2 linked regions of the Ovis aries genome follow. The protein of the gene in region 1 binds, or shares a complex with, the protein of each later gene. Links are inferred from orthologs where the notes say so. Each region holds a gene or a part of one and is shown on either strand. Other genes may lie near its edges.

What was found.
Region 2: GTF2A1 (region 1) and POLR2C share a complex: the UniProt entries of both Homo sapiens proteins name them as parts of the TBP-based Pol II pre-initiation complex. The link is inferred for Ovis aries from reciprocal best matches to the Homo sapiens genes GTF2A1 and POLR2C.

The regions. Positions count from the first base shown.
Region 1 is NC_056060.1:90,688,036-90,691,861, reverse strand, and holds part of GTF2A1 (transcription initiation factor IIA subunit 1), read left to right. Parts: intron 1-1,523; coding exon 1,524-1,625; intron 1,626-3,826. UniProt on the Homo sapiens protein: TFIIA is a component of the transcription machinery of RNA polymerase II and plays an important role in transcriptional activation. TFIIA in a complex with TBP mediates transcriptional activity.
Region 2 is NC_056067.1:25,053,602-25,056,838, forward strand, and holds part of POLR2C (DNA-directed RNA polymerase II subunit RPB3), read left to right. Parts: coding exon 1-6; intron 7-149; coding exon 150-202; intron 203-2,812; coding exon 2,813-2,941; intron 2,942-3,237. UniProt on the Homo sapiens protein: Core component of RNA polymerase II (Pol II), a DNA-dependent RNA polymerase which synthesizes mRNA precursors and many functional non-coding RNAs using the four ribonucleoside triphosphates as substrates.

The sequences.
Region 1 (3,826 bases):
ATCAGACATTTTAAGGAGATATTGTAGAGATGGCAGAAGTCACTTGAATAATTTTAGTTCACAGAGACAGATTTGGCAAAATAGAGAGTAAGTGGAACAGCAAAGGTGAGAACTCAGATACATTGTTTTTCTGTTGCATTGAAAGGGAACAAATAGATTTTAATGGTTGAGGTAAGTTATATAGAGGAACATACTTGTATTTTTGGCTGGACAAAGACACATTAAGAGATTTCCCCTGTGATAACAGTATTGCTGATGGAGATGCTAATAAAACTTTTCTATTTGAGGTTTGTTTATAAGAGCAAACCTTTGGTTTTATTGGGTAGCAGTAACTTTTACCTTAAGCAAGATATAAAGCTCAAATAATGACAAAGCATTAAAAGAAAAAGGCTGTTAATAGCTTTGTGTGATAATGGATAGAATTTATAACAAGGTAACTCTGACAGCAATCTTCCTTTTGTCCAACATCTTAAAAATAGGATATGGGTTGGGCAAATTGTTCTGTCTCTTACTTTTTGGTTTTTTAAAAATACTTTATATACTTTTGAAGTGCTTTCACATCTATTCTCATTTTATTTTTGGCAACCTTCTGAAAGCTCCCGCCCCCCCCCCCCCACCAGTAATGCCAACAATAACAGTTATAATAATAGGTTAAAAAATAAGTATCAAAGCTGCTCAGTATTCTGTTCCATAGCGTCATCTGGGCAGCTCTTTGGTTTTAGTCTCTCAGTCATGTCCGACTCTTTGAGACCTCATGAACCCACCAGGCTCCTCTATCCATGGGATTTCCCAGACAAGAATACTGGAGTGGGTTGCCATTTCCTTCTCTGGGCAGTAGTAGGAGAGAAATCCTGGAAAAGAGATCATTGTGCCTTGTTCCTCTGAGACTGAGACCTGTTATTGTGGTTATAGGAAAGGCTTTATGGTATAATTTAAAGGTACAGACTGGGTAACAAAAGCCAAAATCAGGTGATTTTAAATGTGAATACTCATTAACTTTCAAATTACTGCCAGGCAAATGATCACAGAACATAAGACTCTGAACTCTTAAGAGGGAGATGAGGTTAGGAGATATAACCGGTTAAACTAAGCAAGGAATAATAAAAACCAGACATAGCAACCAGTAATACTGTATTGTTGGGTCCCATTGACTGTTTTGACTGTAACAACATAGAAATTATAACTGAAAATTGTGTGGGCCTTCTATGTGTAGTGATCTTCTCTGTTAAATATGAATTGTATTAAATAGTCATAAAACTTTTGTTACAATATGCAGTCATCAAGTCATTCAGTTTAACTAAGGCAAATGATCTTTTTACAATGACCATTCCTTTAAACTTACATCTTCTAAAATAAGTTTTAGAGAGTTAGAAAAATGACTATTGTGTTAATTTGTTTTGAATTTGTAAAAACATGTTACCTTTTTTTTTTAAACTTTATTTTACTTTACAACACTATACCTATTTTAAAATGTGAGAAACAGTCTTTTTCAACAATCTTAAATTTTTATTTTCCCTTTAAAGCCTAAACTATACAGATCTGTGATCGAAGATGTTATTAATGATGTGAGAGACATCTTTTTGGATGATGGAGTCGATGAACAAGTTCTGATGGAACTAAAAACTGTGAGTTTGCCTTGTTTTTTTCTTTTTTAACACTCTTCATTGAAAAACTATACTCCCATTATTTTTTCATATGATGACCATTTGACTTTGTTGCAGGAAGCGGTGTAATTAGTGAAGGGTGCTTGTTTTGAATACCAGTTCTACCATACATTCTTCCTCTGACCTTAGGCAAACCACTTATATTTCAGTTTCCGTATATGTCAGATGGGAGTTCATAGTACTTACCTTTTAGGTTTGTTTTGAGGATTAAATGTAATAACTATCTGAAGTGTTTAGCACAGTGCCTGGCGATAGTATTAGCTGTTATTAGTGGGCAGTTTCATTTATGGTCTAATAACTTCATATTTACATTCCTATAAGGTTTTGTTTTCCTTTTTTTTGTCTCAATGTCTGGATATTCTAAAATGTGTATGCTGTAGAGATTGAGCAAGTGCTTGATCAGTTTCACATTCTGGAGTCGGATTTTCTCTATGGGCCAAGTATTTGGTTTATCATATATCCTAGTTTGGGAGCTCCTTTTCTGTCTCTTAGATTTATGTGGATTTAAGCAGAAAAATACAGATATTTTTATTTTATGTTTGTGTTTTCTTATTGCTCTAAGAGTCGTGAAATCAAGGAGTATTTTTACCTTACTGCTCAGAACTGTGATTCTCAAAATATGGTCCGTGGACTTTCCCACAGGCTCTTCCAAGGGGTCAGTGAGGTGGAGCAGTGCCCAAGTCTGAATAATCACAGTATGTCTCTCACATTTCCAGTAAAAGTTGTATTACATGAAAAAAGTGACCAGTTAAACTTGAAACTCAAATGAACAAGTGCTGTTCCTTGAGATAACTGCTCCATATGCAGCAGAAGTGCATTATGCATGCTTCATATTTTGATGCACTGACTTAAAAATATGCTTACTTTTAAGGTTGAGATAAGATCGTTGATATTAAGATATTCAATTGTTTGATATTCTGTAGTGAGATGTGTTAACATCGGCCTATCTGCATACTACACTGGACTCGCATTTTCCAAATGACCAATGCATGATGTTGCAAAATCCCTTCAAAGTTAAAGATAAATGAATGGATTTTAATCTAAGAATATGAAAAGTTAATTAGTATGTGGTCTCACATAGTACATTGCAGCTAACCTTTAAGAAACCATTACTTAAAATACTTCTTCCTTTCCCAGCTACTTAGCTGTGGGAAGACAGATTTTCTTAATATACGTCAGTGAAAACAAAGTGAATGCAGCAGATGAGAGAATCCAACTATTTTCCTTTAAGCCATTTCTCACTAAATTTTATTTGGAAGACATGGTTATTTTCATTGAAAGTATTTATGTTAACATATAATGGATACATGTTACTTTTAAGTAAGTAAAAGTTTTTTTAAAATCTTATTTAAAATTTTGTAAAAGCTCATTGAGGGACTTGCTTGGTGGTCCAGTGGCTAAGACTCCATGCTTTCAATGCAGGAGGCCGGGGTTTGATCCCTGGTCAGGGAACTAGGTCCCACATGCGGCAGCTAAGTGTTCACGTGCAGCGATTGAAGAGTGCACGTTCCACAACAGGGTGGAATATCTCATGTGCAGCAACTTAGACCCAGTGCAGCCGAGTAAATAAATAATTTTTTATTTTTAAAGCTCATTGAGGTCCTCATTAATTTGTGAAAATGATAAAGGAGCCTGAGACCAAAGAGTTTTAAAACTGCTGGCTTAGAGACTGGAAATTGAACTCCTTTAGAGCTATGTATAAATAAGAAATCACAGTTAGTGAATGCTATGTAGCACTTGTTGTGGTCTTATTTATCCATTCAACAGAAGTGTGGAGGCTGCAATTTAGCAACTTATAAATTTAAATAAAGCAAATCTCACTTGTATTGTGGTGATGAATATATCTTAGAATATATCTTAGAATATTGCAGCATCTGTAGGCAGCTTCTGTAGGGTTTTCATTAAAAGTCTCCCCATGTGAGGGAGGGAAAATACAGGTTTGAATGGGACGAGGAAACATTTATTTACCTTAGGAGAAATGTGATGGTTACTGCCAGTGAAGAGTAGGTATCTAAAAATATAAGACTGCCAACTTTGAGATATGAGTTGGAAGAATAGCAATGGAAATTGCTCAAACACATTAAGTATCTCAGGGATATGAATAAGAAGAATATACACTTATTTTGATTTCTTAGTGTTTTTTGGAATGAATATTTTACAAA
Region 2 (3,237 bases), on another chromosome or scaffold:
GACTTGGTGAGTGCTGGGTTTGGAGAGTTACAGGGAGGGGGCTGTGCCAGTGTCAGAGGAAGAAGCATCCTCACCCCCAAGGGGACTTCTGGACTCTCCTTTCCAGCTTGGCCCCTGCCTTCTTCAGTGTGCTTTTCTCTGTCTCCCAGGATTAATCCCTCTCACCAGTGACGACATTGTGGACAAGTTGCAGTACTCCCGGGTATGCTGTGTGCTTGGGGAGCTCGGGGGAGGCAGGGAACTCAGTTCCCAGGGAGATTTTTTCCAGCCATCTCGATTTCGGCTTTTAGAAAGACAGTATGGAGATGTCTGGAGCCCAGGGCAGGCATCGGTCTTTGGTTCTGATGGGACCACAGATCGATGAGGCTCAAGGGGCATCAGAGAGTCTCATTAGCCATAGGGGACATAGACCTGGATACTCATTTATACCGAATGGGTGGAGCTGTTTCTCTTCAGCATCTGGTGTGCAGTGTTCTCCAGAGCATCTCTTCCCAGGGACAGGGGCCTAGGAGGCTAAAGAGCGTCAACAGAAGGCTAGTGGGTGAGGACAAGGAGCAGAGGGAGTGAGAACTGTCCTGCAGAGCAGCAGCTGTCTGCCAGCTTTATGCCTCACCCTATAGGTTGTCTTACTGAAACATGGCTCCATTCCCCTGGGGTGATGTTTGCCGCTTCCACGATACATTAATGGGCTCAGAACTAGGGAACGTGTAGGATAGGATTAGGTTACCTGCATCCTTTCACCAGAGCTGCATTAGTTGACAGCTTGAGAGTATTCCTTCTTGATGGCTTTATGTGGTCCTGAATCAACCCCTTTTCTGGTATTCCCAGGGGCACATCATTTTGGTGTGCTAATGGCTTAATTTGATATATTTTGTAAATGTATATGTGTGTTGCTGTTTGTTTTATTAATTGTTTATTTTTGGCTCTGCTGGGTCTTTGTTGCTGCTCGAGCTATTTCTAGTTGCATTGAGCGGGGATACTCCTGGTTGCAGTGTGCAGACCTCCACTGTGGTGGCTTCTTGTTGCGGGCACTGGCCTCAGGCTCAAGGGCGGCAGTAGCTGTGGCACACAGGTTCGGTGGTTGCTGCTTGCTGGCTCAGTAGTGGTTGTGGTGCACGGGCTTAGTTGCTCCATAGCATGTGGGATCTTCCTGGACCAGGGATTGAACCTGTGTCCCCTGCATTGACAGGTGGATTCTTATCCACTGCGCCTCCAGGGAAGTCCATATATGTGTGTGTTTTTTTTTTTAAATATTCAAGCACCAGCAAAGTGTGGAGCTAATAAAACAAATAGGCATGCTGCCGCCAAACCACTTGTCACATTTTGACATTTCATCATTTTTGCTTCATGTCCCCAGAGTCTGTTTTTAAGAAATAAAACATCACATATATTGATAAAGACAGTTGTACCACCAATTGAAGAGCAGTTAGTCCATGCCCTGTGACTAAACAGTTCCTTCCATTAAATTTTTTTCTAGTATTGCATTTACTGAATAAAGATGGTGTGGATTTTCCGTTTGTGTTTTCTTAAAATTTGCAGAAAAGTTAAAAATAGAATACATACTCATTTTCATTTCACTTTTAATTTGCAGTTGTTGATACTTCGCTATATTTGCTCTATGTTTCATATAGATGTTGTGATTTTTGCTAAACCATCTGAAAGAACGTTACAGAAACCATGATACTTCTCCCCTAACTACATCAGCATGTGTGTCCTAAAAATAAGGATATTTTCTTACCTAACCACAGTATGGAGCCTAAGAAAATTAGTGTGGATTTGTACTATCTATATACAGTCTAAATTCAGCTTTTCCTAGTTATCTTCGAAATGTCCATAATTGTTTTTCGGTTTGGCTGAACTGCTTGGCTTACCAGGTCTTAGTTCCCCGACCAGGGTTTGAACCCCACACTCTTGACAGAGAAAGGACAGAGTCTGAACCGCTGGACTGCCGAGGAATTCCCCCTCATTAGCTTTTTGTTTGTGGATCTGTGATGCACGCGTTGCATTTGGTTGTTACACCTCTTTAGTCTCTTGATCTCTTGAACAGACTCTTCTCTCTCTTTTTTTTAGGTTGAGTACCTTTTTATATTTTTGTCTTCCATTACATTTTGATTCCTTAATTTCATATTTCTAAGAGTGATTCCATCTCAGGGGTCCAGGTTGCCTTCCTGTCCCACCTGTGTGTGATTACAGGCTGGCCAGGGGTGGCCCATAGATTTCCTTCATCATCTTGAAAACGTCAAAAGTAGCTTGGATTTTCCTCACTGATATGAGGGGAGAACAGTTTGCTTGACTACATTCTGGTACCTCTCTTCTTGCCTGACGTTAAATGGTAGCAGCTAGTCTCTTAAGACGGGAGTGTTTCTAGAATCAGTTTAAAGAATGGCAAACTTGAGAATTATTAAAGCTGAGTGATACTTACATGGTGGCAGTCTGTTATACCCTTCTCTGCTTTTGTGAATGTGTGAAACTTTTTTAGAAAAGGTCAGTAGTCTGGAGCTTAAAAGGTACTTTTTTCTATTGTCCCCTAGATTGTTTTAAGTGGTAATTGCATTCCCAAGCTAGTTCCAGCTCATGGATCCTGAACTGTGCGGGATGAAAGCCTCCTCTGTTAGTGCCTTGGTTCTCTGAGGAAGAGCAGTTTAGCAGCCCAAGAGTGGTGTGTAGATGGATACAGCTGACGAGAGACTGGCGGCTGCGGCCACCCTTTCATCAGATGAAGAACCTTCAGGGACAGGGCATTAGAAGGGGGGAGCCAAGCCAGACTTCACCGTCTCTCCACAGACTCACTGCTATCTCTCTCCCGCCTCAGGACTGCACATGTGAAGAGTTCTGCCCCGAGTGCTCGGTGGAGTTCACTCTGGACGTGCGGTGCAACGAAGACCAGACGCGTCACGTCACATCTCGAGACCTCATCTCCAACAGTCCCCGGGTCATTCCGGTCAGGAAGGCCCTCCCTGTTGGGACCTTTGCTGTTCTCCTGGCTCCAGTGGGCCAGATTGGGGTGGATTCTTAGAAGATGCCAACTTCCCTGTGTTACCCTCTGCCTTAATGTGAGCCTGATGCTTAGAAGTACTAATGATTCTGGACCCTCGCCAGAATGGGCAGAAACATTGGTGCTGTGGGCCCTCTGCCGCTTTAGGACCCTTTTGAAGACCATGCTACTGTTTTGACTGAGGAGGTTGTCACAGCCATGAGATAGGGGTTAGAGGCCAGTCACCAGCACAGACGGGATCC